Arabidopsis thaliana: one gene and its partner. The protein of the gene in region 1 interacts with the protein of each later gene in a pairwise test. Each region holds a gene or a part of one and is shown on either strand. Other genes may lie near its edges.

Region 1 (16,532 bases):
AGAAAAGAAGCAGAAAGGTCTCCCTTTTATTTTCCTGAAGTCAATCAGTAACCGCCATTTATGCAGATCTACAGGAGATGGAGAAATTCGGATCTGGAAGGAAGACGATTTATCCGGTCAGAATCTATCTGAGATTTTCTTTTGTAAGTCAAACAACGTTGAGCTAAGAGTAATAAAATAAAGTTGTCTGATTTGAGATCTTTTTGTGTCCGAAACTCTATAGTCTCTGGTCTTCTTCTTCAGTCTCAACGAAGCTTAAGGGGAAGAAAGGAGATATATCCTTACGATTTTAATCTTTGGGATGAAAGAAAAGTCACCAGGTTAAGATATTTATTCAGTAAATTACAACATGTGATAAAAACTGTTTGCTTTAATGGATGTTAGTTGAATGATTCTTGAATAGAATCCTATCCATTATAAAGAAATAGTATAGTGTAGACATTGAATATATAAAACAAAACTTTGAATAGAAAATTCTGATCTCAATCTCTAAGAAAAGATTCGAATGACTAAGACGGACGATCTAATCTCTCGCTAAAGTCTCTGTAGTTACAGCAACCAACCTATGTACTTGAGAATCGAGACTGAGTCTGATCAGATAAAGGCCAAAACGCGCGGTCCTACGCCGTTTTGGTGGCCACATGTTAACAAAAAGGGTCACGATCCAGTGATTCACGTTCATTCACCACACGTGCCGTTGCATTGCAACTGTGCAAGACAAAATCTCTGAATTCATCTCTTTTCCTGTTAAATATTCCATTTTACTTGGAGAAATGGAGATCTGATTATACAAGAATAACATTCAATTAGAGGAAGAGGGAGTTTACTTGTGGATTTGTCTTAACTGGTTTCTTATCCAGTTTGAAAGCAGCAAATATAGACTCAGTGTGGTTGCTGCTTATCATTGTCTCGCGTGAATTGAAGGAAGTTTTCTTTGATGACATCTTTAGAATCTCGTACAAGGTTGATCGTTGCCTCGTGCTCGTCTCCTTCTCCACCACCGTCGCCTGTAATGTTGTTGATCTCTCTTGTGACTGTGAGGCAGTGAATTTTGCTGGAGCTCTTTTTGGTCGGCTTTTTTCTTGAATAATCTGCATAGGTTATTAAGAAGGTATTTAAATATGTGTACCAGAAATGTGTATGTTTATATAGGGAAGAGCTTTACCGTCTCTGGAACTGAAGGTTCCTCTGCCACTGAATTTGAGCTTTTGCTGTTACTGTCATCGCGTTCGAATATATAGCCACGTACAACATTTGAACCGCGCTTGCGAGATCCTTCTGATATGGAACTCTTTGTAAGTCTACCCAAGAACGATGACTGCAAAAGATTCACGGCATTAGTAAAGTTGCAATTCATTGTCCTATTTTTAAGAAGTCTCAAAGTGTGACCTATCTAGTATCTACGAACTTTATTGGTATACGAAAGTAACTGAAGAAGGCTTATACCTTGGATGCTGCAGGGTTTTTGTTTATTTCCATGAGTGCCCTCTCTTTAAAAGCTGAAAACAATTTAAACAAAATGGTTAGAAGCAATCAGCAATGTGTGTATAAACTCAGCTGATGATTACAAATACAGGGAGAAACTTGGGTGGTATCTTACAAGAAGGTTTTGCTTTCTTCTTGATCTCAGGCTTCTTGATGTGGCGAAGAATTTCTTCAGAGTTTTCATCCGCAGTGGATGATGAAGACTTGGCCTTTAGCTCCTGTTCCAAACAACAATGATCCATATTAATGGGGCAGCACAAGCGAAACATCAAACAAGCTTTTCAATCTTTACTATATAGAGAGGTATGGTGGATCAAATGATAAAATATGGAGCAGACAGGGCTATTGAACCGGGATCACTTACCATTTTCTTGTACAGTCGCTGTTGCAGAAGCTTCTTTTCCATTTCCTCATCGTCTGATGACACATAAACATCATCTTCATCTGTGAACATTAAAGGGATCATTTCCTTTATTTTCTTTATGGTCATTCGCATGGAATTTGCATGACTTGGATCTTCTTCATCTTCATCTTCATCTTCATCTTCATTGGCTTCAGGTTTTTGCACTTCTTCACCATCAGCACCTTCAGGCCTCTCTTCATCATCATCATCAACATCGTCATCTTCATCTTCAGACAATAATGTTTCATCATGCTGCACACCACGTTTAAGCTTCTGTAAGAGTTTCTCTGTCCCTGCAGCATCTTGTTGCTCGAGCCACTTCTGATGCAGTTCATTACGTCTATCTTTATCAGTTGGATCTTCCTTAAATTGACTGACAATCATATCCCTGAGATCATCATCGTCTTCATCTTCGTCATCATCCTCATCCTCAAATCGGAGTAAATCATTGTCACTGTCATCTTCCTCTTCAGCATCCTCATCAATAAATTTTCTAACAGGGTCGCCAGGAGAATCATGGATCTCCGGATCAGAATTTCCCTTTATGTACTCTGCTTCTTCGGAAGATCTGCAGATGTGGATTAGTTATTGCATGGAAAGCAAAGTATACACAGTATAACTTAACATTACAGAAACAATTGGCTCTTCTGGTCATATCACAGAACACAAGCTATTCATATACTGAAAGTAACATCTGTCCATAATATTCTTATGAACATGTAAAGACTGCGTTTTGAGAAGCTTGCCAATATTAGATAGACGAGCAAATCAAAGTTATAGTCAATTCAGTTTTCGCATGTAACCACATCTAAAGATAGACTCACTTGTCAGGCACAGGAGACAGGTTTAGTTTGAGGTTCATGGCAACTACCGACGGTGTCATTACTTCTTCCAAAGATCTGCTTGACATCTTCTCAAGAAGTTCATCTCCAGAGTTAATCGTTTGTGGACACACGGATGGATCCTAACCAAAAAAGGAAAAAAACTGAGAGAGTCAGCTTGAAACCTGAATTTACAAACTAGCCTTTGAACCACAGCATAAATTTAGCATTTGTAACGTGGAAACGAAATGAGCCATTCAAATTATCTGCAGATGGGGTTAACATAATGGAAATGTAGGTATATATAGTTACAGGTTTTAATCTTCAAATGTTTGAACTTTATACTAAGTCTGGACTCTCGAGAAGAATTCAAATATCACAAAACTTTGATTAAGGACCTCAAAATCCAAAACTAAATCAACAAAAACAGAAAACAACTTCCTATTGTGCAAAGATCTAAAGTATCAACACATGAGTTGGCTCACCTGATGAGTAGGGTTACTTTCAGCTTCTCTTTTAGAGGGACTGTCTGAGTTCTCCGACGGACCTGCAGAGTCCTCCGAGCAATGCTGTCCTGCAGAATTTTGCTTGCTTGTTAAATTCATATCTTCATTCATCTCTTCAGCTACAACATCTTCAAAATCATCCCGGTCGCATATGTCAATAGATTTGGACTTCTTCCTACTAAGGAATCTGCCAACAACACAAATGATAACACACAAACACGGTTACTAAGAAAAGAGATTATAAGGGAAAGTAGTAAGGGAATATAGCAAACTCACTGTTTTGAAATCTCTTCTTTTCTTCTGCGAATTTTCTCCAAGACAGATGAAATCGGCTTTCGGACAAGAGGGGCTGCTTCAAAGGCAGCATCTCTCGTTTCTATCATGAAAAGAAAAACACAAACAATTTTCAGTTCCCTGCAAAACGTTGAAATGAGCACTGAAGAGTGTTTTGAGAGTATCATACCTCGCAAGAGTCTCTGGTTTTCTGCACGAAGCTGATCAAGATATTCCCTTCTTTCCTACAGACGAACGAAGAACAGTAACACCAATTAAACACAGGAGAAGGAAACACACAAACGAATAATGTTAACTCAAAATGAAACTAGTAAGAAATAGAGAGAGCTACCTTCTTAGTCATGTTCATGGAAGCAGTAGAGACTGGCAGCTCATCAAAGTCATCACTCTTCTTCTTCCTCTTCTTATCTCTCTTTCTCTCCTTTCCCTCTCCATCACGTGTCTCCACAATTGGTCGCTTCTTTCCAGCTTCCTTCGTTTCCGGAACCCTAATTTCCTCTTCGTCTTCACCTTTCTCACCCAATTCCTCCATTGGGGAATCAAATTCATGCACAGTCGTCTCGAAATCCGGATCCTCCTTTTCAGATTCCGTCGTTTCAGAAACCCTAATTTCATCTCTTGTTTCCGAATCAGAGATTTCGCTTCCACTTTTCTCGCCCAGATCTTCGATCGTCTGATTAAACTCAGGCACATAATCAAAATCAAGTACCTTCCTCGCGGTAACTCCATCCTCTACACCCAAACCGTCGAGATCAGATGGAACCCCATCTTCTTCCTCAATCCCATCGCAACCCTTCGCAGACTGCAATTCAGACTTACCCAGATCCTCGCCGTCGGGGTTTTCGGAATCGAAGGTTTCAGATCCAGGACATGAATCGGAGATCAATTTAGCTTTCTTCAATCGTCTTAGCATCCTGTTAGGAACTGGGACACTCGATTCTCCAATAGGAGAAAGCTGATCATCGTTCATCATCTTCGATTGTAATCGCCGGACAAAATTGGAGAGAATCTTACGGTGCCCAATGTTTCTGTTCGTTTGGAAGAAGACAAGTCAGTGCCAAAAGGGTGAAAATGAATAATTTGCTTGAGGATTTACGCGCCAAACAATTCGAATTTTGGCGCCTCTATTTTACGTTGAAAAAAAAAGGTGAGCTTTCTTCGCTATGCAATTCCGTCAAAAACAAAAATTAGAAACTAAGATTAAAAATATATATATGCAATATGATAGGGGATAATTGTTTCGTTAATTTACAATTTTGTAAAAATATCGTAAAATGATTATTTATACCATTATGATTCAAATATAAAAGCTAAAGCCATTTTGAATAAATCATAATTTCGAACACGGATAATTGATGATATAATAACAAATTTAGCACATATTACTAATATCGTTTGATTTATAGCACATAAAAATTTAAACTTGTATAATATGTGTTGCTGACTATAAACAAAAAAACAATAACAACTAGAGCTAATTGCGTAGGAGACTCGGTTACACAGTTGGTCTCCCACCTAACCACTCCGATTGTATATATTAGATATGATTCCTCGAGTACTACTACTATAAGTGTTCCACGTATATATGTAGTACACGACCACAATGTAACGTATCCAAATATTCGTATGCAAATTAATATACATATTTTGTCAACGTTTTATAGATATTTCTAAGTGTAAATCCATGATTATGTCACATCAGTATATATAAGATTATATAAATTACACATAGAGAGATGAGATAGATTAGATGGATCCTCCTGAAATCGTGTTCTCACGATAGCTACGAGCAAGGAGCACCCTAGTTAATAAGAGCCGGCTAACAGAAAATTGAGAAGAAAAAAACAAGAATAGTTTTTTTTTTTTCGTAGTTAATCCTCATGATTCTCTAAAATCTATCGATCTCTCTCCCGTAATAAAATTTCGGAGAAAGAGGAAAACCCTAATCCCCTCTTTCTCTCGGATCATCAACAAGAAAAAAAAAAAAATTATAAATGAAAATGAGGAAGCTTTGTCCAAATTTGGACAGAGAAGACGGGTTAGAGACGGTGTTAGAGGTTCCGGTGCCGGAAGAAATGTTTACAAAGATGGGAAGCAACGCCCAAGGGCGGTGGAGGAATATGCACGCTCTCATGAAGGCACACGCCGTTGTGACCGCGGTGGCGACTGATGTAAGAACGCCGGCGTCATCGTCATCGATGAGTAATGTCAACATGCATTTGCAGTCAAAATCAGACAACGAGTTTGTGGCCTTGTTGAAAATCGTAGGAAGTCCTCTTATTCCTTTTCATGTCCCGCTCGAGTTTTGTCTATCCCGACCAATCAACGACACTTCCATCGTACGTATCTTATCATTAATTCAATCTATTGATTTTTGTTTAACCTTTTGATGAAGTGGGGTTATAGGTTAGAATTCAAGTCTTTCACTTGCAGTTTTAATTTTGGTTCGTTATTCTTAATGTTTTGAATGGCACAATTTTCAATGATTCTATAAACCATGGGAGGATTAGAAGACTACTAAAATTTTCCAATTTCAAAAAGAGAAAAATGTATAGAGATGGAATGTGTAGCGATTATTAGCCCTCAATTTCTTTATGAGATAACAAATAGTTCTTTTTTTTTTGATCAAAACAAATAGTTCAAAAATAAAAAAAGTTTTATAGGATAAACATTTTATCTTCTTTTTTTTGTTCGTATGAAACAAGTTATCATACAATTTACGTTCGTCTAAGTAGAAAGCAAACCTATTATGTGGAATGTTGATAGTAATGGTGTATTTGAAGGAGGCGTCGACGGCTAAATACATAGTGCAACAGTACGTGGCAGCGTGCGGAGGTCCAACGGCTTTGAACGCAGTGAAAAGTATGTACGCGGTGGGGCAAGTAAGGATGCAAGGCTCCGAGATGGTTGCTGGAGAGGACGAAGGGACGGGTACGCCGGTGCGACTTGGTAAAGGCAGTTTCGAGGTCGGAGGTTTTGTTTTATGGCAAAAGAATCCAAATCTTTGGTTCTTGGAGCTAGTGGTTTCCGGTTTCAAGATTAGCGCTGGTAGTGACGGCAAAGTGGCTTGGAACCAATCCTCTACTCAACCTTCTCAGGCCCACCGTGGTCCTCCTCGTCCTCTCCGCCGATTTTTTCAGGTGCCCATGCATTTTTAACCTTTCAATGCATATTATCGACTATTTTACGATTAAACTTAACAAAAATGACAAAATTTGTAGTATAGTGGTTTTGATCGCCCTATCATATTCCATGTTCAAACATGGGAGCACTCTTGTGAGTTATAAACTTATAAAGTACTAATTTAGTAGTAAATTAGAACTAAGCCAGAGAGGAAACCAGTCAAAATGTTCATAACACCATTAAAAAAATAAATCCTAGCAATGATATACACCAAGAAATACAAAATTTTGATTGTTAGCAAATTTTAATTGTTACAAAATTGTTATTAGCAAATTTTGATTAACATTGTTACAAAATCTCGATTGCTAATAAATCCTATCTCATATTATTAGCAATTTTTGCCTTAAAAAAATATAAACTTACCATGACTAAAGATTGACCTTTTGACATTTTTCATCTGTTGAATGACGTGGCAGGGACTAGACCCGAGATGCACAGCGAGTTTGTTCTTAGACGCCGTTTGCATCGGTGAACAACCCGTTAACGGTGAAGACTGTTTCGTCTTAAAAGTAGAAACACCGTCAGATATTCTCAAAGCACAATGCTCACCAAACACGGAGGTGATCCACCACACGGTATGGGGTTACTTCAGCCAACGAACCGGACTTCTCGTAAAGTTCGGTGACACAAAACTCGTGAGAGTCAAATCCGGAAGAGGCAAAAACGACGGCGTTTTTTGGGAGACAAGTATGGAGTCCATCATCGACGATTACATATTCGTTGACGCAGTCAACATTGCTCATGGTGGTCAAACCGTGACCACACTCTACCGCTACGGTGGAGCTGTTAATCACCGGAGAAGAATAGAGGAGAAATGGCGTATCGAGGAGGTGGATTTCAATATTTGTGGATTGTGTTTGGAGAGCTTTTTACCACCGTCGGATATCAACAATGATCATTAGGCACGATGGAGAAATCGTTACAATAGTCTATCTTTTTCTTCTAGATGTTTTTTTTTTTTGTTGAGGTTTAAATAGGTCTCTTATACACACCTACCGTGGATTTGTAACAAAAGGAGTAAATATGTAATTTTGAGATGGTGGTGTACTGTAAACTAATGTTTTAAATATATTTCAATTGTCATTAGCACTTTCGTTTTTATTTATTTTTGTGACTCAATTGGAAATTTCCATAATGATTTTATGAGTTTCATTAGTTCAAAATTTTTTTTGAAAAAATAATCCCAATGGACCAACCGAAAATGGGCCAATCATTTCACTACATAGCCCACTAAGATAATACCGACGTAAGTCCGTTAAGAGGGAAACCCTAGATTGCGAGATAACAAAAACATGCTCCGCTATATAAATCCTGACAAATCTCAATTCATAAACAACAACCGATCTATTCCTCCGCAGTTATTCTTCTTCGTTTGCATCGCCTCTGGTATCTAGAATTTGTTCGAATATCGATTGACTCTTGTAGTTTGTTATGCTCTGTTTTGGTTTTGATTTCGATTTTGATTGGGTTTAGTAGATGCATCTGTTTGATTTACCCACTCCTCTATTACTTGTAGAGTAAAAATCACAAAGTATGGTAGAGGAGTTAGAACGGATGCTTATATCGAATTAGGTTATCTTACCAACCCATTGCTTTTTTCTGTAGCTTTGGCGTCAAATGAATCGACCTATATTGTTTTAGTTTCTTCTTGTTTTTTAATTTTTGATTATTGGCAAATGAAGAATTGATTAATTTATGCTTAACCACTGATGAACAGTGTTGACAAAACATCTCCGCTTATTATCTGATGCCATAATTCGAATCTTAGTTTTTTTTTGTTGTTGTTGTTTATCAAAACAATGATGAGATATTAGCAGACGGGCGGTCTGAATTGATGCCGTGTAGATTGTCTGCCATCGCTACTATGTAGCTTCTCTGAGTATTTGATCTTATTACATTTTCTCTTTGGTTGCGATGATGATGTTGCTAATATATATGTCTGGACTTATGAGATTATTCAATCTTTGAAATGATTGTGCAACCTTCTGAGCTTACTATCAATATTAAGAACCTGTTTTTTTATATCATGTATTAGTAACCATCAAAAGATCGGAAGTTTAATATTTGCAGGTATTGGTAGGATTTTATGTTGAATGACACCTTTTTTTCAATCAAAATTTCAACCAATCCTTCCAATTACTTGACAACCATTTCTATAACACAATGGAGATTGCGGAATTCTTGAAATTATCTGAAAATTGGGACATGTCGGTTTCATTGTAAACTGTTGACTTAGAACTTTAGGAATCCTCGTGTTAACTACAAAAGAAAGTCGCAACACCTCCTTCCAACTTTTATTGTCGTTAAATAAGTTGCATTCGAGTTTTGCCAGATTGTAGTATTTTAAAGGGGTCGTACTTCTCAAGATTTGGAGGAAAGGTGTTTTCGACTCTTTCGATTCATCGTTGTGCACAGCGTGTCTTCATGGCCATGGTTTAGATGTCGCTTTAGATTGTTTCTCTTCAAACTCCAGTTGAATGTTAAGAGATAGTTTGGAATGTAATAATTTAGTTTTCTATTGTAAGTTGTGTTTATCTTTCGTACCTTCCATTTGTTGTAATCGCATATTTCTCATAGTGTATAAGACCGTCCCCAAAGGTTAAGAATCCATTGGTTCTTAATCTTGTATCTTAACAATTACTTAAACTAAAAAGCAAATCTTAGTTTTTAAAATTTTTTCAAAATTTTAGTTTTACTTAAGAATCTAGTATTTTTTTCATTCATAAAAACTTCTTAGCTAAGAAGCAAATCTTAGTTTTTAATCTGTTTTGATTTATTTTTCAAAATTTATTTTTTAGATATTAGCCAAAGATACATCTAAATACACCAATAGTGGTGCTCTAAATAATCATATAATTGTGGCCATACCAATATTTATGTGTGAATTGGACTTGGATAGATTTCGAAATAAACATGTATTTTTGATTCCTTGGGCCTTGCTTTCAAAATTCTATGGCCTCTAAGGCAATTGACACGTGGAGTATGCAGAATCAAGTATACGTGAATCTCACGTGGCGTGCCGTACCGTTCAGTTACCTTAAAATATAATTTTAATCGCTGTCTCTGTTGTTGTCCACTTGTCTGAACTGCAAGCGTTAGGTGAATGTCTTTACTTTTCTTCTCGCAACTCTTTTCATGAAATCAGTTTCAACTTTTCTTCAGCTGACTCTTCTCCGACTTGTCTCATCACTGCAAAGTTCTCTCTTTATTCCTCGTTCTCTGTTTCGGTACTACCCTCGTTCTTCTTTTTAAAGTTTGGGTCTTTCATTTGATTTCATACTCTTGATTTTTATTTTACATCTGACGACTAGAAAAGTAGGTAGATTATGAATCTTTCTGGGTTTGTAGTGAGTTTATAGGAAATTCCTTTGTCTAGTGTTCCAAAATTTGAGTAGATCTTGAACAACTTTGCAAATCTTGTTGATCGATATGTTTGGGAATTGAAAATTTACTAGATTTTGAATTTCTGAGGTTTTGTGTAAGCAGTTGAATGAAGCAGTAGGTGGTTGAGTCATGTTTGGTCTGTGATGTCCTGTCACACGCATCACATGAACCTTGGCTTTGGATTTAACGGCCGTTGTTAGTATTAGGCTAATTATTAACATGGCTTTTGTTCATTGTAGTTAATTTTCACAGAGTAAAGAGATTTTGATACATTGGACCCAAAGTGCAATTTTCAAAAATGTTTCGCTGGAAGAATTCTTCTCAAACCGAACAAGAGCAGAAAGAGGCAGCTCTCAGAGAGGCAAAGGTCAAATATTTCAAGGCCTTGTTGATGATTTTCATTTCACTTAATTACCTAGTTGATTCGTAGAAGCTATAATGCCTTCTGATTTTTATGATTATAGATGAAAGAGCTTAAGACTCTCATAGGTCAGCTTTCTGGAAGGAATTCACTGTATTGTTCAGATGCATGTCTGAAGAGATATCTGGAAGCTAGGAATTGGAATGTAGGCAAAGCCAAGAAGATGCTCGAGGAGACGCTCAAATGGAGATCGAGTTTTAAACCCGAGGAAATCCGATGGGTATGTATCATAACTGCATCATGCTACTAAATCTTAGAGAATTCCTATCCAACCAAAACTTATAATTCTTGGTTTCTATTAGAATGAAGTTTCAGGTGAAGGTGAGACTGGTAAGGTTTACAAAGCTGGATTCCATGACAGGCATGGAAGAACGGTTCTTATACTGAGACCCGGCTTGCAGGTTTCTATTCATCATTTTTCTTAGTTAATGAGTTAACTTCAGGTCACAAGCTGAAACTTCCATTTTCATTGACAACTTTTGTAGAACACAAAATCGTTGGAGAACCAGATGAAACATCTGGTGTATCTCATTGAGAATGCTATTCTGAATCTGCCAGAGGATCAAGAACAGATGTCTTGGCTTATTGACTTCACGGGTTGGTCAATGAGCACTAGTGTGCCTATTAAATCTGCCAGAGAAACTATTAATATTCTGCAAAATCACTACCCTGAGAGACTAGCTGTAGCTTTCCTCTATAATCCTCCAAGACTCTTTGAGGCGTTCTGGAAGGTTAGACAAAACAATACTTCTATCTCATAGTTAGACAACAAGACAACTTTGTTTGTGTTTTGTTCGTCTGTATGTGCAGGAACATGATGGCATTTTCATTTTTTCTTTAATTATGTGTTGTTCCACAGATTGTGAAGTACTTCATTGATGCAAAGACATTCGTCAAGGTGAAGTTTGTTTACCCAAAGAACTCGGAAAGCGTGGAGCTTATGAGCACATTTTTCGACGAGGAAAATCTCCCAACCGAATTTGGAGGGAAAGCTTTGTTGCAGTATAACTATGAAGAGTTCTCCAAGCAAATGAACCAAGACGATGTTAAAACTGCTAACTTTTGGGGATTGGGTCACAGTAACAATAACCAGCTGCACGCGAGCAACGGGTTTTCTGGAGCTGAGATTGCCCCTGAGCCAATCCAAAACCACCCTTGACTGGTTCTGAAGGCAATGTATTATTAAAACCAACCCTTTTGAAATGGACTAACCTTAGCTCTTGATGCTAAGTAGAGAGGTTGTATGATTTAGACATAGCATTTGATTAAAATAAAGAGGGTTTGTGTGTATTAGTAACTCTTGCAAGGCTTGTAAGCGAATCCAAAAACTCTTTACACTCATAAGCATTTTATTTACAGGAAGCAGAAAACAAGATTCGCATTACCAGCAACAAGCTTTGTTTCTTTCAATCTGAATCTCACCAAACACAAGAAGAAGGGAAAATGATTTCTTTCAAAATTTGAAGGCACAAAGAGATTAAAAAGTACATAAAACAAAAATTATACTACACAGCAGTATTAGCTTAGACTATATAGCTTAGAGTTCTGCAGTCAAAAGTGATGTGCAACGGATTGGAGTTAGAGGGAGAGAGTAGATGAAGCTTGAGGCAATTTGAATGAAACTAGATAATCCTCCTTCTGAAGTTTCTGGTGGTCGATTGATAGGTACGCACCAGAAGGCCAACCCCAATGCCAAGACCTACACAGACACCAAGACCAATTCCCACACCAACCCTCACACCAGCGTTGAACCACGACATCTCACCATCTTCACCATCTGCGTACTCTCTATTCCAGTACATGTCGCTGTGTTCTCCTTCATATTCTTGTTTATAACTTCCATATTCAGTAACCTGCACAGAAATTAACTCCCATACTTAACAAAGAAAAATAATTAAGAGACATTCATAGCGATAGTCAGAGAAAGAATACAATCGTCATGCAATTACGCTAATGGTCTTTTTGTTCCAATCTTATAAACTCTTTCAAATGTAGAATAGAGGCTAATGGTCGAAGATATAGACATTGCACTATAGTTAAATAATCTACGGTGAGTATGAAGATCTATCTCCAATAGGTATTGACACTGTCAACTGCAAGAGCCTCCAATTAAAACTTCAAGCATAAGCTATTCTTAACATTGACTCTTAAACAGGGCAACGTTTCCCAAATCAGTCTATGCATAAATTAAAGATAATATACTGTAGCATTACATGTGAAAACCACGATATTCCAACCAATAAGTCACCTTAGAACTGACTGTAGCAGGCAAAAGGATAAGAATTCAGATATTAAGATCACAAGACAAGAGGCAAATGGGAGAGAGAGAGTGTGAGTGAGAGATAGAGAGAGAGAGGGCGAGAGCTATCTATTGACTTGTAAAATGTGGCTGGCCCCATACCTCACATGATCATTTATAACGAAGTTGGTCCACTTCAATATCTAAAGGAATTATCTTCCTTAGAGTACCAACTACCAAGAAACATGTCTCAAAGACTCAAACTATGAAATCTCAAAACCATGAAAAACTTAATGCTCATACAGCCAATAGTGACCATGAAGACTCATATCTTAGGAAAAGCATTCAAAGCATTCAATCAATATAAAACTATTCGGAAGCATTATAATAATCTTGAAAAAATGAAGTACCAAGCAATTAAAAGTTACCTGATAATCAAGCTCAGATGAGTTTCCTTTATGAGGCTCATCAGTTTCATACTCGGGAATCGAATCTAATGCAGTCACTCTACCGTGCTTCTTTCTGAAACCAAGCTGTAGAGTCTTCGTTAGGATGATAGGAGTTCCAGAAAAGCAGCCAGTGACATAGACTTCAATAGTTGGCAATGGAGAAGATAACTCCGAACCACCAATATGTTTCTCCTTCAAGAAACCAGACTCTGCAGTGATCTCAGCTTCACAATTCATGTTCCACCGCTTCACGCTATGCTTAGATTCACCAGTGAAACCATTACTACCAGACATCTCAAGCGTTCCAGACAAAACCAGCTCATCTTTATCATAAACCTCAAACTTCACACTACCAGATAACCTGATATTATCCGTGCTGATAAAAGTAGCAACTTCAGATTTCTTATCAACACGATCACGCCTAAGCTGAGAAGAAACTCCTTCAGAGTACATGCTCATTCTAACACCATTAATCTCCAGAAGTGAATCTGGATCCAAAGGAATATGAGTAATGGTGAGAACCTCAGGTGTCGAATGATCCACCTTGAAATTACTGATTCTGACATAGAACACTCTCAAATCAAGCAATGGCGATGATAATGAAGATGGTAGTCTGGAATTGTGATGGTTATAACTCTGATATCTGATCATCTGGGATGCTTCACCGTTGTTACGTGTCTCATAAGGCTCCACCATGATTAAAGAAAACCAAAATCAATCTCTGTTTCTCACTGAATCCAAAACATATCCATCAGAGACGCGTATATTGTCGATTTGGATTGGAATACGTGTGCTGCAGAAAAATTGGAATCAATGAGAATAACGTGAGAAACATTCATTCCCAAAATGGGGAAATTTAAGGCAATAAAAGAAGCAAAAATCATAACTAATGAAAGAAAGAAAGAAAGGTCAAGATTGAAACTTTACTCACTTGCCACAAAAACAGAGAGATGGTCAAAGAAATCAAAATTTACAGATGCAGAAACAAATCTCTCCAATGTTCTATTTAGAAACCGCAGAGATTGAAAGAAGGTGAAAACTATATTTTTATATCACAAAGGAACAACCTTTGAAGGTAAAACAAAAATTGAAAACCTAGAAAAATCCGGAGAGAAGAAAGGAGAGAAAGAAAGCAAAAAAAAGGAAAGGGAAGCTCACCCAGAAATTTGTTTCCATCCACAAAAAAAAATTGTGAATTTGCACAACTAGTGCTTAATATTAATCTTCCTGTCTGAATCAGAAATTAAACACGGAAAATAATAAAAATAGCAAAAATTTGTGGCCAAGTAGGATTTTTAAGATCCTTCCTAGATCGTTGCTTTCGATATATTGCGAGCTCGGCGCGTGGCGTGGCGACGGACCCCAATTGATAGTCCCAGCAAAAAAAATATGTCTTTTTTGAAGAAAACAAAAGAAAATATCGAAAGTGTGTGAGTCGGAAAAAAGGATCTACAGTGAAAGGGAAAAATAAATCAGAAATCGGGAATAGTGATGGGAACTCGATAGAATTGTCTTTTTATGATATCCAACGAGAAGAGAGAGGCAAGAACCAAGAGGAAGAAGAAGATGGGCTCTTCTGACTTTCTGATCACGTGATCTTATCCCTTTACCAACAAAACAAAACCATTCGCTGTTTACGAGACACACCGCGTCGGTTGTGTTCATCTAAAACGACGCTCATTTTGTTGTTGGTTTTTCTAAACAGTAAGTATTGGGCCTTTATTGGGCTTTTAAATTTACTCCATTTCTTAAGGATTAGTGAACATCGTGCCGTTTTTCTGTTAATTGATCTCACTCTCACATTGTGATCTTATTCATTGTATTCAAAATTCAACTATTCATTGTTCAACAGTATAGAGAATGTCACGGTTCGAACCTCACATGATCGATATAGGTCGGTTTTCAATTAGTATCGAATTATATAAATTCATCTTATATGAATGTCATCATTATGGGTTTGTTGTGAAATGAAGTTTATGTCAAGACCTCAAACCTCACACACAGATTGTAGCTACCAACCGGGTCGTGGTTAGGTGGTGCCGTGGTGGCAATAGTCTTGCATACTAGATTTAAAGATATACTTCTTCTATAATGTCTAGAACGTAGACTGTATATGAACCCTAACTCCAAGGATATATATGTCATACTTGTATTATATTGGTGGATAATAGAGAAGAGATAACCAACGGACAAAAATAAAATCTACTTTTTCTTCTGATATTTTATCTAAACACCAAAGAAATGGGCGGCTTTTGGTTTTTAAAGACTGTTGTTTTTGTTTCTGTCTGTAAAACATAAAAGAAAATTTTATTGCTCTTGAAGATATTAAAAATCAGACAAGCTGTTCAAGAAAAATATTATTCTGTTGAATAAAGTAAACTGATGGGGAAGAGAAGGTTTCAGAAAGCAAAGGAAACGTCGTCAGTAGCAGAAGCTTCATCTCCGACGGAGTCTCAGGCTACAAGGAGACGAAGAGGAAGGCCAAGGAAGAATCTTGAGAACCCAGAAGATTTCAAGAAGGAAGAATCTGAGGAAGACGAGGATTACGAAGAGTACGAGGACGAAGAAGAAGAAGACGAAGAAGCTGAGGTGGTTATTAACAGAGAGAAGCTGAAGAAGAAAGTTAGGAGCAGTAGTGGTAGTATGGAAAAGGAGCAAAAGATGAAACATGAAGAGTTAGAGGAGGAGGAGAAGCCGGAGATGACGGTCAAGGTAGTGGTTCCACCGCCGTCGTCTAGACGGTCGAGGAGGAAAAGCACGCCGGTGAAGAGCTGGTAAACTTTAATTACCGTATCATTAATTAATGGAGTTTTTGTTTTTGTGTGTGTTTTTGGATTTAACTATTGTTGGATTATAAATTAATTGAAACTCTCATGGGAAGAAAAAAAAACAATTGATTTTTGGATTTGTTAGTTCAAAACAAGAAACAAATCTTGTTGATCTTAGTGTTATTTTGGTGCATCAAAATAACTTTAAAACATATATGATGGTGAAGACTAAATTAAATGAATTGTTTCATGAGAAAGCTGTTTAGGGTTATTGTTTTAGTTGTAGTAGGTTGTTTAATTTATTGGTTGCGTAGTTGATGGATGGTTACGTCCCTTTCGAATTTTTATACGATAAATGATAAAAGGTACCATCGCACATGGTGGAACGGATAAGTTAAGAAACTAATGGATATTGCTGGTGAAAGAAGAAACCTGTCTATTATTAAAATCTTTTAACCAAATAGCTGTAATTGTCGATTAAAGTTGTACAACTAATTAATCTTGGAGCAGTGAGAGAAAGAGACTCGACGAGTCCACGTTGATATACTATTTTAATACAAGACATTGTTGGCCCTGCAA
Region 2 (15,755 bases), on another chromosome or scaffold:
AACTTTGCAATGATTCCAAATATAAGAAGCATTAAGAGCAGCCATGCAAATCTCTGCCCTACCAGCACCAGGTATAACAGGTAGTACCTGCCTGAAATCACCACCAAAAACAACTACTTTTCCACCAAAAGGTTTTTTCCCAACACCTCCTATAATATCAGACAAACTCCTATCCAAAGATTCAAAACAATGCCTACTCATCATGGGAGCTTCATCCCAAATAATCAAAGACGCTTCTTTCAACAATTCGGCTTGATTTGAGCCACGCTCAATATTACATACAGTGAAATCGTCAGGATTAATTGGAATACCAAATCGAGAGTGCGCTGTCCTCCCACCAGCTAACAATAGAGAAGCAATCCCACTTGAAGCAACGTTAAGCACAATTGAACCTCTAGATCTTAGTGAAGCTGAAAGTGTCTTATATATAAAAGTTTTTCCAGTCCCACCAAAACCATAGACAAAGAATACACCTCCAGTGTCATTGTCAACTGCCTCAATGATCTCAGAATACACACTCTTTTGCTCATCTGTCATCTTCTGCAACGATTCTTCAAATTTATCCCTCTGTTCATTCCGATTATAGTTTCTTTCGTCAAGTATCAAAAGATTACTATCATCATCATCTTCTTCTGGTAATTGTGGCATTGTCTTGAAAGCTGTTAGAGATGTTCCATTGCTTCGTAAGATACTGTTGATTTCCTTTAAAGCAAACATCTGTTTTTGCTCATCAAACAATATTAGTTCTGCAGACGAATATAACATGACATGGCAACAATCAATAATCAAACCAATAAAATGTAAAGATCTATATAGAACATATATCTGTAAAATACAAAATTATGGTACCTGGTCAGTCAAAGTACTCTCTCCTTTTTCTTTCTATATCTTCTGATAGGTGTTCCCAAGTTTTTTCCCAAACAACTTCTGGTTGAGAAAAGCTTGTAGACTGGAGCATTACAACAAACAACAACGCAAATAGTTTCCAGTTGCCTAGAAACTGGTTCTTATTATGTCATCAATATACTCCTGGTCATCATCTAGAAAACCCAAAGCAAAACATGTCTGCTTGAAGGATTTATAAACCACACCATTAACTGTTTTTAGATCATCAAAACTCTCAGGTCCAGTTTGTGTGTTGAGAAACACTCTTAAATAATAACCTTCTTCATAAAAAGGTGGAACATAATTTATCCTTCCAATCGTATTCCCTGGTCGCTTTCTTTGATTGAAAGTTTTTGCTGTACCATCCCAGGTAAAATACTCTGGAATCTGAGTATATGTGAGATCTTTGGCTGTAGGACACCGTTTATTCAATTCAAACCAAGCCAGAAACATTGAATTTTGTAGTTCTGAACGCTTCAAAACGTGTTGTACCTCATCATCACCTTTAAAAAACAGAAGTTGTTTCCCTGGTAGGTGAAAGGATAACCTCTGAACGGATGTTGACCGGTAATGTATAGGATTTTTCAGAATTCTCCAACCAGCTTCACATGCTGATACATATCTGGTTAAAAAAACACAAAACATGTTAGAAAAATATGTCTAATCTAGATATAGCTACTAAGTAAAAGATATGTTTAATACCTGCAATCAAAGAAATCTTGAATTTCATCCTGAATTGTTTTTCCACTACTTGAGCTTGTAGACTTCTCTTTAGAATTTGTAATCTTCGTAGGCTCATCATGAGGCTGAACAACAACTGCTACACGATCCATCCCTTTAGTGATATACTTGAATAAGTACTTGATGGATCCTGTTTAGTTACACCACTCAACATTAATATGAGCCCTGTATCGAAGCGACAACTTTTTGTTATAAGGAATGACATATCCGTTATCAAACTTAAAACCACACTTCTCCACAAAGTGTTTTGTCTTTCGTCTTCTAAGGCGATATCACCTCATTCGTGAGATTATTGGTAGAGGTGATGTGAAGATTAGCAGAGTTTCAACGGATGCAAATGTTGCTGGTCCTATTACCAAACCTCTTCCGCAGCCGAAGCATGAGAGTCATACTGCTTCGATTGGCATTAGATCTATAAAGATGTGATATTATTTCTAGTGGGAGATTTTTTCTTTTATGATATGATGTTCATATTAAAATACATTTGGATTTAATTTCAAATTAATGAAATTCGTTTCAGTATTATTTATTTATTTGATAATTAAATAACAGTCCCAAAAAATTGATATCATTCTTATAGGTCATCAAGTACGTGACTTGATCATGAAACCCTGTAAGTGGAAAATGACATATATTATTGAAGTCCCTAGTCAAGGTTATGAAAATGGGACATTAATAACTGGGAATGACTAGTATGTGAGGTGACTGATGACTAAGTTTCATGGAGTCATTAATATGTGGTATTAAAGTCAATCACATATATATGTGTTAGAGAACACAATATTGGATTGACCCGTTATGAGGACTCTACAAGATTGTTATATGAGTGTCATAAGAGTTTCTCATCACAACTATAGAGTATAGTCCTTTGACCTGAGTTCGTCATGATTTCTTACTCATGGATTAGTTCGCTTTGACTCTTTCAAACGTCAGCCATAAAAGGTGATTATATAGACAGTGATTGGGCGCGTTATGAATTGTTTAAGGAACAGGGATGGAACAAGATGGAATTTGTCCCTCCCATATAACGGGAGATAAATATCTTTGGGCCTATCGAAGATTTGATACTGAAAAATGCGTGGCCGCGCTCAAACAAGGTGAATGTCAGTCGTTTGTTTTATCAGTATAAATTGGAGTTCGATAAACATGGTCTAGCTGAATAAGGATGACAATTTCTTGCCTTATGCTGAGATCGAGATATAGAGACAAAGGGATTATGGGAATAGATGATTCCAGTACAAGTGGGAGATTGTTGGGAATGTCCTGAAATCAGTTGTACTTTATTCTAGTTAAAGTTGTAATGTCGAGGTTTGACATTTGTATAATATTACGTGGTTATAATATTTTGCAAGAGACCGCTTATAATCTATGAGTCAGAACTCATTGCTAATATTATACAAACCTACAGGGTCATACACTTAAGCAAATTGGATCAATTAAAAGAGTTATTGGGCTTTTGCCCATTATTAACCCTAATTGGTTAGGGTTAAACGTTTGGCTGTATATATGATATATTAGCAACTTTTGTGAGATACACTTTTGATCACAAGAACCCTAAAATAAAGAGACAAAGAGTTGTCTAAAGTTTTGAGTTTAGATCTCAAAGGAACTAGCATTCCAGATCTGATCTAGTTTGTGTGCGTGTGGATACCGGTAGAGGCACAACACTTGGGGTGCTAAAATAATCTCGAGATAATATGATTCACCTTTCCCCTTCAGAATATCCAGGTATATTCAAACGCCAAGATCTAGATTTGATTATTTATTTACACAGTTTCTGGCAATTGAATTCGTTGTTACTTGTTAGTATTTATAAATTGTTATAAATCGGTACGAATTCCTTCAGATGATGCTTTAGAGAAAGAGGATAAACTTCGGTCCGCTTTTAACCAGGTTCAAGTGCTTGAGCATGAGTTAATTATATGAGACCAAAAAGGTAATCCTCCCTTCCCTTTACCTTTAAATGAAAGCTTTCACCCTCTCCCTCATCTGCATCCAAACCGGAGCGACTTTGTTCAATCGCTTTTGCACTTTTTTCTCTGCCTGGCAGGCTTTTCATAGTTCACGACCCCTGTTGAGTAGGGTCGGTATAGGTAAGGCAATCGATTCAAAAGTAGACTGAGAGTGGAGGTTTAGAATAACCTAAGGCGTACTGTAGAAGGAAAGAAAGGTAAGCAATCCCAGACCCAATAGGGCTACCTTTCTTCGACTGAGACCTATCTGCTTCATTCCCGAGTTTCACTTCACTTGGACACAGCCAAAGAAAAAGGGGGGCTTGATCCACCGCTTTCAAGTCCAGTTAAATTAGAGAACTCCTTTTTAGAAGAATAGGATAGAATCTTCCGAATCAGTCCTACTATGGTTGGACCAAGGTCATTTCGACTCTCTAGACTTTCTTGCTTCTTTCCATCCTGAGAAGTAGATCCTTTGGACCTTTTCTTTCCTGTTGAACGAGTGGATGTTTTGAACGAGTGTTGAGCGAGTGAAATGCCCCATAAGCTATAAGGGCGAGCTATCTCTTTAGATTCTGTGAGCTGCGATTGAACTGAACGTTCCAAGTGCATCCAGCAGGAATCGAACCTACTTGCCTCTTTATTAGGTTGGGCGCTTTAACCATTCAGCCATGGATGCAAAGAGAGCGAGTGAACTAGGTTTTGGTATTCCTTCTCGAGCTTCAATTTCTTCCGTTATAGGAGATTCGAGAAAAGATGGAATAGGAAGACGTGTTTCCAGAACAAACAAGATACGGGTTGAGAAGGGGAAGTTAGCAAAGTTAGACAAGATTGGAATGGGCATAGGAACATGTATTGATGTACCAGATCGGCTAATGCTCCCAGGTTGATGCGATGTATTCCACCAGTTGACTGAAGACTTTATTATTGGTATATCGATCGGTCCAGCACGAATTGAAATAGAAGCCGGTTCGACAGGAAGCTTTTGAAAACGCAGTGCACCCAGGTAAATAAGAAACGAGATGAATACAGAGGTCAAACGAGCATCCCACACCCAAAAGGTCCCCCACATTGGTCTTCCCCGAAACCCCCCAGTAACTAAGGTAAACAACGTAAAAAAAGCACCCATTTCTATACCGGTTCCGGAAGAGCGAAGATAAAGGGGATGTTTTGTTAATAGGAACAAGAAAGTGTTTATAGCCGTGGCGATATAAACAATAATACTCATCCGAGCCGCAGGAACATGTACATAGAGAATACGAGAATTTCCACCTTGTTGAAGATCTAGTGGTGCTACCCCAAGACTTAAATGAATAGCCATCGCTGTTAAGAACAACCAAGACCCAATGAGAATTTGCGCGTAGCTTCTGGTCTTTGACATCAAAAAAGAAGGTTGTAATAACGAAACGGACATGTGCAAATTTTGTCCTAGCTAGTGGAACAAGAAAGACATGGATCTATAATACGCAATCAAAGGATTTCCCCCAACGAATAATTCCCCCTCCCCTGCTTTGTTTGTTTTCGCTCTGCTTGTGCGTGGCACTCCTTGCTGGCGGAGCGGCGCATAGCGAAAAAAAGAAAAAAGGAAACTCACCACCAAAAGATCAGTCCAATAATCCCACTCACTGGTAAATAGCGCAATACTTCTTCGTGAATCTCCGCTATTTGAATATGGAACATCATAACAACGAAAAGGAATGAAACGGCTATAGCTCCTATATGAACTACCGGGAAGATCATAGCGAAGAAGTCGAGACCTAACAAAAGACGTAAACCTGAAATGGCGGTTTAGTCGTCGGAATCGCTTTTATTTATGTCGTAGTCAGACAGCAATTCCAGTAGCTCCACCCAAAACTTGTCTCCGTTTTTTCCTAACCGGGAATAAAGATAGTAGAATCTTTTCTTACGCCGATCGATATCGATCATTTCATGTTCAGTCATCACAACATTTATTGCTCGTTCTATATCCCGTTCATCCGGAATATGGTAACCTTCGGATACTAAGAGTTCATGTGTTTTTGCTATTATTTTTGCCTTGATTTTTTCGCATTTATCACTCTCTGCTTTTACTTGCTCCCCGATGGTATCTGTGTTTTGATCCTCTACCTCGAGGTTCAAGAAAAGGCGTTTTGAGCCACTTTCCTTGTACTCTTTCGACCAGAAAGGTGAACCCCTCTGCTGATCGTGAGAGTGCTCATTCTCATGAGCATAATATCCTTCTAAAAGACCACCCTCAGATGGATTTGTCGGGGGCATTGGCGTATTTCCTCCTCCTAGTCCTCCGGATACCACCGGGTAGAACTGAGAAATGGCACGACTTAAGTCGTCCATCCACAAGTATCCTACAGCAAATAAAGATTTACAGAGAATAACTGAAATAACATAAAACCAAATCAGTTGCCATTTTTTGGAAAGTTTGTTTATAATAGGAAGCGAACAAAAGGAATCTAAAAGGACTTTTATGCTGCAAAAGACTGGGATGGGAAACAAAACAGAATGTACAAAACGGATAATACGTGTAACCAGCAAACCAAAGACCAAAACTTCAGTACGGTCCGTGCGCCGTTTTTCTTCTCTACCATGACGAATCAATTGATTAAACGTGGGCATTATTCTCTTTCCTTTCTTTTTCCCCCCATTTTGTGCCCTATCACTTTACTCCCGATCCGAAGCACCCCTTTTCCATTCATATAGAAATCCAATCGTCAAAATAAATAAAAAGAGTCCATCATGGACCAAAATCTGCCCGAGACAAAGCTGAGCTGTCAAATAAGACCAACAAGGGATAAGATAGGGAGGCTCCTCTAAAGCTGGAACCTCTTCCAACCCCAGCACGGCTCTTCCCCGTCGACTCCTCGTACGCGTATCACAGGGGCAAACACGCCTTCAAAACATCTGGATCATACAAACTTCTCATTCAGTGGAAAAAACCTTACCAAGACTAGTTGCCTCAACGAATTGATATGCTTTTGCTTTTTGTGACACCGGCGCGAATGCTGAATACGGAGGAATACAATGAAATCAGAACAAAGCAGGTAGACCAAGCTAGCTTACAGAATTCGAGGAATTCAAACTCAGAATAAGCTCTTTTATTAGCACGTTTGGTAGCCAGAAAGGAAAGAGGTTCTCATTCACAGTGCCTTCTCCTTCTGTGATCACTGATCAAAAGGACATTCATTCAGTAAGGGATTGATCCTCAAAGTGGTTCTTTTAGCACAATGAATTACTTATCTTATAATGAATTACTTATCTTATATAGTAGTGTAACCTTCTCTTCGTACAAAAAAGCCTATTCTGAAAGCCGTCTTTCAATGCCTGTACCCTAGGGCGAGCTAGGTTCAAGGGTACGCACCTAGTAGCTGCGAGCCTAAGATTAAAGGCAAGTTCCCTTGGTTCGGCACGCTTTCACTCAGTATGATAGGCTACGGTCAGATTCGCTCGGTCTAGGTATCACCTTGATGCGCGTAGTTATTGCCTTGATCCCTTTCCTTTGCTCGGGTCATTCCATTGCCTAAAAAAGTGAGCCTGGATCTTCGGAGAAAGGATTTTAGAGCTCTGTGGAGAAAGTCTTGAAATATTGGATGCTTTCTTTCGTGGTTAGGCGGGCATGGCATCAACTCTGTATAGGTGGGTTGGCCCGGCCGGCCAAAGCTAGATATAGATCGGTTGGCACTGGATCTGCTGGATAGAGGTAGCGGCACAGACAGCTACGGATGGATAGAATTACGTCAGCTTGTCGGGTCAGTAGATATGCCCAGGATCCATTTTGACTAGAAATGAAATGGTACAGAGAAGCGCAGTGAGCGGTAGCAACCATTGACTACTCGGGCCGGGCCTTGCAGCCAGAAAATGGGACTCGATCAGCTCAGCCCATTGACTCTTTTATGGGGAACTATTAGAGACCTAGGAAAGTCAAGATGCCACCGGGGCGTAGAAAGAAAAAGGCTTCTTCGGCATGATAGCTCTGCTCTGTCGGATAATATGAGCCCCTTATGGAACAGCTCACTCCGGGGTGATTCTGGTTTAGTCATAGAATACAGTAAATCCATGCGTTTGTCTTCGCCTTTTCGGAAGACCAAGACAGCTAGACGATAGATTAACCAAAGCCATAAAGAGAAGATCGATATCGCACAGAAATCCTGGATCTATCAAAAAAGCCCGCCAAAGGTGTCCTCACATGAAATCATGAAAAGGATCCGAGCCCATCAAAGACTCTACTACATGAAAGGATCTGAATCTATCCAAATAGCTGTGGCCCATGATCCAAGGGACCCGCAACCAGTCAATCATGCTATCCTTACCTTCCAACCAATCGGAAAAAATTACGTTCAATTCAGGATCGAATACATCTTTGGCTTATGAGTTATGCGTTTTCTCTTCTTGGCACTTTATGTCTGCTAGTGCATAATCATGCTTATGGAAATAGTGGAGGTTGAGCAGTTTCCCTGATGAAGAGAACTCTCCTTCTCTAAACAAGCTTGCCTGTGGGCGTCGAGTAAGAGCATCTGGGAATTGATCTTTTACGAGACAGCCCGGAGTTGGTCTCGTGGCTAGGTCTTTAACCGAACCGGTTCGGAATAGAAAGTCTCGGTCAATGAAGTGGAGTGGGCTGAAACAGAAAGTTGGGTATTGTATTTTTATGCTCGCTTGGCCGGAATCCCCTATAGTGCTTTTCGGGCGAAGTGACGGATTACTTTTTGAGTGACTACCCTCAGTCTTTCAGAGCCTCGGGATAAGCTGTTCTTGTTTCATAAGCAAATGTGGCAACCTGGTGGTATAGTGAGCTCTCTCTCTGGATTAAGCTTCGGTCATTGATAGAGAGGAATCACCTAGCCTAGCATTAGACTCGACTAGCTAGCCTTCCTTGGGCGGATTGCTTTGAATAGCGTAGTTTTCTTAGCTCCGGGGACTGCCTTATCTACACTATGAGAAATGTTAGATGCAACCATTATAGTATAGATATATTCTTAGATGATTACTATATGTGATTTCTTTCATACAGTCTTAACAAATATAGAGATCTTCACCATAGGAGACTAGCTTGAACTAAATCCTCCAACCTTAAAGCAGTATGAGAGAGGACGGATACCAGAAAGAATCACCTCGGAGCCGCTATGCCACTATGAGAAACGTTATACTATAGATAGACATGAGATGATATTCTATAAGGAATACAATGTTTGAAAAGCAAGAATAGATAGAGTTGAAAGAAAGGCGCTCGTATAGAGCCCTCGACTATGTATCGGACATATGGCAGGTTGGGAAAGCGCGCTTGGAAAAGAAAGACTATCCTCGAGGTAAATGTAAATCAATCTATCTCGCATTGCCCAATCTGAATGCTAAAGGCTCGTAACCCCCTAAAAGGAAACTCACCACCAAAAGAAAAAGGTAGGTTAACTAACGAAACTCAAAACTACATTTTAATTCTTGCTCACCGATAATCCTTTATAAAAAATATTATACAGCTGTATACAGGATTATTGGTATAGCTGTCCACTAGCCGAAAATCGGACACCAAATTATTGTAGACTGACGACCTGTCCTTAATAGAACCGATCTGACTCTCTGAACAATCGGAATTTCGTACTTCTGTCGGATCCTCCCTATCTCCTGATCGAGCTTGTGTAGGTAGATGTTGCCTGGTAGGGCCGATAGTAGTACACTGTGTGGGACGGAGTAAGGGCCCCTCTCAACTCCTACGAGTCGTCCGGCGGAAAAGACTTTCTGAATGGAGTAAAAGAACTTGGGATCGTCGATCTCTTCCTTCAAAATTTGGATGAGTCGATGTCGGTCGATGGTGTGAAAACACTTCCTGATGTCGAATTCTAAAAACCAGCGAGAGATTCCCCACTCTTCTTTGATCCGTCTTAGGACCGAGTGGCAGCCTTGACCCGAGCGGAAATGCGATGTGTCTGGAAACTCGGGATCGTAAATGGATTCGAGTACCATTCTGATCGCCTCTTTCATGATCTTTTCTATAGGTAGAACTACTGTGAGCGGTCTAAACTTCAACCCTTCTTTCTTTCTTCATATTGTAAAGGGGGGAAAAGCTCGTTTTTTGCTCCCCTTTTTTATAATCAAAGGCCCCCTCCTGCCGTCGTTTCAGTGACTCATAGGGCTTCCCTCAGTTCAGTCTTTTTGGTTCTTGAAAATGGTCGCCACCTCTCCTCTTCTTTCAGTCGATGGGGTTCCTCTCCTTTTAGTCGAGTAATCAATACCTCTCCCAGGACCGGAATGATTATCCCTGCCCGATGGGTCTACATCCATCCCTGAATGTCGTCGGGTACTGTTCACTTCCCCGCCATTCTTGTAACCGTCACCTGTAATCCGCGCGGGTGTGTCCGCACCCCCCTGAGTGGACGAGAAAGAAAGGATTTCTCGGAGCAACCCCCCAGGTTCCAGACCCAGGAGTCAACTTTCCCGTATGAGCATTCGGTACATGTATCAGTCCGTGGGAAGAGGTGAAAGGGTCACCACTACTGAGGATCTCCCCCCCCCCCTAATCTTAGATAGGTCGTCTGAGGGTTCGCCGCGGTTCATTGCTGTGCTTACACACAAGGCTACCCTTCTCCGAAAGCTACGCGGGACCACCTACCACTAGTCTTCGGCCGGAGGGGTTTATTGCACAAAAACGGCCGGGACGCAGGCTCCCGAAGAGGGAAGCCCAACGAATGTCAGATGCAAAGTTCCGCACCTCATTAAGATCATATTGGCATACTCTCCCAAAAAAAAAAGAGCAGACCCCATTGAAGACGAGAGTAAGGTACAACAAGGCCATTTCTGTCCACCGCCCTTCTCACGGAACCGTACGTGGACGTTACCGCTCATACAGCTCCCAGCCAGCAAGCACAGTTAGCCTTCCTCTACAAGAAATGGAAATGTGGATGAATCGAATGAAATCGAGGAATTCGGTTTTTCTTTTCAGACATGATAAGTAAGAGCATCCCTTTCACAAAAACCTACGGATCCCCCTCCTATCCTGCCACTTCAGCACCTTGTGATCTTTGAGAAGATCATTACGAGCCCTTTCCTAGAATGTTTTTGTAGATTCCGAAAATTCCAGAGTGGATCAGGACGAGAATGAATCCGGGAATCCAGGGCATACTCATCCTGGAGCTTCCGCTCTCCTCTGGGAAGGGCTTTTTTATGGATAGAGAGATGAGTCGAGGGATTGATTACTCGACTAAAAGGAGAGGGTAGCCTCCCGTTTGACCGATTTCTCGGAGTCGGAAGAAGATCTCTCATCTGATGACCCTGAACAAGAAGGAGCTGCTCTCGATGTGAGATCAGCAGCAAAAGAAAGAAGAAAAGGGCCATGATGATGATCCTATGTTCGTTTTCGCCCTGCCCCTATGATGCGCTCCTAGCTCGCAGAGCATAAGTCAGCGCAAAGGAGAGATACATCCTTTAAGACTGTGAAGAGAATCCTTGGTTTGACCTACGGACTACGTGGGAAATACGAGATCTAGGCAAGCCGCTACATGTTCTCCCCCTTGCCCTTGAACGATAGAAGAACTACTTATCTTCTCTTAGATAGCAGTCGATCGGTTCTATGATCTATGGTCAATCAATAGGCCCACGGATCTATTCTTCTATACGATAAATTGCCATCTCGTAGCACCACAGCCTGGGGGTAAGACTAGAAGAGGAGATTTGCTTGGTCTTCTGTGCGGAATCTGCTTCCTAATCAGTGTAGCTCTTGGGTCAGCTCACAGCTAGGACGTCATCAGTTCTAAAGGATTCCTCACTAGGGAGACTCTCTCCTTATGGGCAAGGGAGGCAGATTTTGATGGGGAGAAGGATTCGGAATATAGTTACATAAGTCCCCTTCCCTCTCCTCAATATAGTTTCACTCGAGTCACGTCAGTACCTCTCCTTTTAGTCGCTCGTCGAGACCTCATCAACTAGTTAATACCTCCGGACCTCTCCTTTATCAGTCGAGTTTGTGTTCACAACCTCTCGAGAAACAAGTTCGAGAGTTACGTACTTTCAATGCTCTCTCTATTCCTTGCTAATCAAGGCCTGCAAGGGAACTGGCTACGACTATAGGCGGGACGACATGCTTTTAGCTTCCCTGAAATAGGCGACTTGCTCGCTTTGGCAGGAAGTATTTTTTTTGAAGAATTGAACAAAAAAAACTGAAATTTCTGTAAATCATTAAAACGGGACTTTCTTTAAAGAAAAATGGTCTCTCAAGACGGTACCTTCCATCAAGAAGGTCCTATCCATCGTCTGGCAAAGAGACGCCCAAGATTTATAGCAAGTTTTGACTTGAGCGCTGCCACCGATCGGTGGCCCGTTCCAGTCATATATGAGCTTATGGCGTGCCTTTTCGGTCAAACGATGGCATCGTGCATTGTCAATGGTGCCTTAGCACTCAACTCATGCTCTTTGAAGTCCGTTACTGGACGGCATGACGAAGTTGTGTTTGTTGCAGGTCAACCTTTGGGTTATTACGGCTCCTGGGCTCTATTCGCGTTGTCCCACCATGCTATTGTGTGGTTGGCAGCATTACGAGCATATCCTCATCAGACGAGACCATTTCTCGACTACGCTTTGTTAGGTGATGACATCGTCATTGCCGATCGTAGTGTGGCTAAGGAGTACCGTTCTCTACTTGATGCTTTGCAAGTAGATATATCTGATGCCAAGTCTATTGTATCTGAGACGGGTTGTCTTGAGTTCGCCAAGCGGTTCTGGGTTAAGATAATGTCGAAGGACTTATCCCCAGTATCTGCGAAAGCTGTGCTTGAGAGCTACTTCCTCGTTGGTACTCAGCAGTTGGCCTATAAGTACAAGTTAAGTCCTAAGACTTGTTTAAGGTTAAATAAAGCTGGATACCGCGTGCTAGGACAAATGGACACTACACTAAGGCCCTATCCCGGCGTTTTAGTCGGATTCAGGCGTTATCTAGTAAGCTTTTAGTCGGTCCTGATCGGTTACCACTCGAGTGGTGGATTGGAAGAGGATTACCTCTCAGTCCCTATCTTCGTGGTGTGTTAATTGCAAGGATTCGGGATGGGATGAAGCTTAAGCAGCTCACGCCCCCTCCCTTGGAGATGTTCCTTTGTGGAGAGCCAGAAGCACATATCGCAGAAAACACCGCTTATAGACATTGTATGAACAATGGTGTGAGTACGTGGTATGGTTTGACTTCGTTCCTCGTCGTGCCCCTTCCCACCTAGGAAGAGATACTAACCCGCAGCTGCACTTGGTGCAATCACAGCAGAAAACCCTTCTCCTAGACATTCCTCGGGGGCAGACCACACCACCTCGGAAACAAACAAACAGCACATGCAGCAACAGAGACAGGCGTTCATCGCTCACTTACCTGCATACATCATGACAACTTGTTCCCATCTCACCATGCAGAGGCGCGTAGCGAGTAACAATCCGGTCCATGTGCTGGCTTGGCATGGAAGGCAACCCTTTCTTTTTCGCAGCGCTACGCGCCTCCACATTCAGTGAAGAGATCCCGGACAGGGAAGTCAGAAGGGCAGTTACTCTTCGGACCTAGCGGCCCTGCTTTAGCTGCACTTGGTGGTTCCCCGCTCGGGATTTTATACTGGATTTTTCTTTTAGGGTTAGTGCAAGGTTGGCTTGTGCGAAGTCGACAGGGGTGGTTGAGAAACACGTTTTATTGGGATGGGGCAGCAGGCAATGGATACCGTTCCCCCACCAGAGCCTGCAGTTGGTAGGCCAAATCCCTCTGTCCAAGTGATTGAGTTGAAGCTTTTCAGAGAAAGGGTAATTTCTGAGTGAATCAAGAGAAGATGCTCTAAATGACCAGAATTAGGCGCCCTATCGCTACTTTGTTATCTAAGGTCCCACATCGATCACAAGGTTTTTTTTTCAACGTCTTTGATTATTTACTTTCACTTGCACTACTATGCTATGCTACCACGGGGAAGTTCTAAATGGCGAAAGAGAATCCTTTCAGTCCAGGCACTCAGTGCAGTCCAGACGCTCAGGAGAAGACGGAGGTTAGGAATGCTGATTGGAACCAATACGATTGCCCAGAGGAGCTTTATAGGTATCCAGAGTCCCGCACAAGGAGCAGTTGAGACAGATGCGGAAGAAGGTGCGGCCGAGACGGTTGATAGAGATGATCCGGCAGGCGGAGAGTTTGATTGCGACAGTCCAGCCTTTCATACGAGAAATGGCGGTGACCGTTTGCCCTAAACAAATATCTCAAGATGTAACACATATGCCTTCTCGTAGAGCACTCCCAGAAGCTACCCTGAAGCCTGATCGTGCTTGGAAAAGGCATTTCATTGACCGAACCCGACCCATCCCACCGAGAGTGCGAACTGCTCTTTATTCGCTTCATAGCTGGGCTTTGCATTGGAACCTCTGATTGAGCCCGCGGAGTCGCCTTACTGCTTGAGTGAGTAAGCCATTCAAGATTGTTGAGCTTGGCTCACTTCAGCTTCAGAGCTCTGGCTATTGCTTGCTTAGAGGAGGAAGCAGGCGTGTGGTGCTTCCCGCAATGAAGTGTCTTCCCTTAGATTCCTCTTTATACTCAAGAAGATTAGAAAAACACTCTGTGGAACTGCAAGTGGCGTATTGGAGACTGCACAGCAAGTGGCGTAGTGGAGTGAGCGAGCATCTTATTTGCCCGGATGGAATAGAGGTTTATCCTATTCTCTGTAAACAGAAAAGGAAGTTGTGCTCAATGACTGGAATAAGCTAGTACCATAGATTATTAGCTATGGACTACTCCTTAAGCTAGAGGAGACTTGTTTGTCTGGGATAAATTGTCATTCTAGACCCGATTGGAAAGATTGAATTGAAAGCAAGAACATAGACCTGACGAGAAAGACCCACATTTTGAATATTAACTTATGATAATCAAAGGGAGTCGTGGTTACGGGTAAGGTTAGGAAGGGCGGGAAGGACTTCCTTACTAGAAGAGGATGGTAAGCCATATGTGAAGCTGAGGCAAAGACATTTTATCTTGAAGATTTAGCGGAAATCAAAGTCTAAAGTGCCTTACTGTGCGAAAACGCATATTTTACTCTCTGGCCAAGTCTGGAGATAGACCAGGAAAGACATCTTCAAACCTGCCCGCTGACACTAGTACTGAAGACTTACTTGAAAGTGGTACTGGCTAGTGGACTGATGGAGCTGGAGAACGGAATAGACATCCATTAGTTCCCGAAGAAGGCAGGTTTGAGCAAGGAGGCTCAAGAGTAGCTTTTCCTCTTCCTCCCTTTCATAACACTCCTTCCCCGTCTTACTAGGCGTTAGGTCCTCCATTGCATTCTATTCTCCGGAGCCTACCAACTTGCCCACCTCTTAATCTCCGCCCGTTAACATATAAAAAATCAGACTCTTGTAGATTCGCCTCTTTCTTTCCGACTCGCTTCACGACTCTTTTAGTCTCGTTACGCTTAATAATCAAAATAAGCGGAAGCCAACTCTTGAAAATCTCAGGTTTACACTGCTAGATCAAATTCATACTGAAATGCATTACCCTACCTATCTAAAAAAAAGAGGGCCCTGGGGAGCATGCCACCCTCAACCCACAAACTCCCATTCTCCTCAGTCTCCCAGTATTGGAGACCTACTTACTACATCTCGACCGGGGGCCTCTCCAGTCTTTGCTTAACAACTTTTCTATAGAAGGATTCAATCCAGCCGCAGGTTCCCCTACGGCTACCTTGTTACGACTTCACCCCAGTCGAAGATCCCAGCACGGTATGCCTCAGTCGACGTAATGCCGGGCATTCACCTGATGGTTCCCCAAGCCCCTGAGCTCATCAATGAACGGATTCCACCTTTCACAGCGAGCTGTTCCGAAGTTGCGCCTGAGCACAGTGAAATGCCTCTTACGGTCATCTATAGCGTGCTCCCAGTCGTCATGTAGAGCCAACTGGAGAGCACGCTTGACATCCTCTGGATCCCCGAGAGTTACTCCACGTTGATGCAAGAGAATTTGGGCTTTCCGTACCATGGCCGCCTCCAAATTCGCGCAGGCGCTCGTGATAGTCTCTACCTCGGCAGAGATGCGGTCGTGCTCTTGTGCCCGAGCCTCCCTTTCCCAAGCCTGCTCCTCAGGAATCGGTTGATTGACCGACGAGGAGGTACGCCCGGAACTGGCCGAATCTTCGACCATATCGGATGTATACGTGAACCACTCAGACGAGGCCCCGTCTTGGTGATTCACTATCCCCC

Evidence for each region.
Region 2: the proteins of AT1G75180 (region 1) and AT2G07749 interact in a protein complementation assay, tested with the Arabidopsis thaliana proteins (one large-scale study listed by BioGRID).

What each region holds. Positions count from the first base shown.
Region 1 is NC_003070.9:28,204,031-28,220,562, forward strand, and holds AT1G75180 (Erythronate-4-phosphate dehydrogenase family protein), read right to left. Parts: upstream 14,772-16,532; 5' UTR 14,344-14,771; intron 14,301-14,343; exon of another isoform or gene 14,117-14,300; intron 13,979-14,116; 5' UTR 13,882-13,978; coding exon 13,165-13,881; coding exon of another isoform or gene 13,069-13,164; exon of another isoform or gene 12,757-13,068; coding exon of another isoform or gene 12,742-12,756; exon of another isoform or gene 12,351-12,741; coding exon 12,120-12,350; 3' UTR 11,806-12,119; downstream 1-11,805. Other genes in the region: AT1G75150 (DNA ligase-like protein), read right to left, coding at 679-708, 828-1,091, 1,166-1,318, 1,447-1,499, 1,601-1,703, 1,850-2,456, 2,713-2,852, 3,195-3,402 and 3 more; AT1G75160 (DUF620 family protein (DUF620)), read left to right, coding at 5,504-5,848, 6,293-6,649, 7,109-7,594; AT1G75170 (Sec14p-like phosphatidylinositol transfer family protein), read left to right, coding at 10,375-10,443, 10,541-10,717, 10,800-10,898, 10,983-11,228, 11,357-11,656; AT1G75190 (uncharacterized protein), read left to right, coding at 15,568-15,963.
Region 2 is NC_003071.7:3,235,472-3,251,226, forward strand, and holds AT2G07749 (Mitovirus RNA-dependent RNA polymerase), read left to right. Parts: upstream 1-11,762; coding exon 11,763-12,503; 3' UTR 12,504-13,886; downstream 13,887-15,755. Other genes in the region: ABCI5 (Cytochrome C assembly protein), read right to left, coding at 4,222-4,992; AT2G07773 (cytochrome B/B6 protein), read right to left, coding at 5,367-6,188; AT2G07655 (uncharacterized protein), read left to right, coding at 9,852-10,013, 10,088-10,512, 10,642-10,732; AT2G07776 (uncharacterized protein), read right to left, coding at 10,566-10,895; AT2G07777 (ATP synthase 9 mitochondrial), read right to left, coding at 15,286-15,755.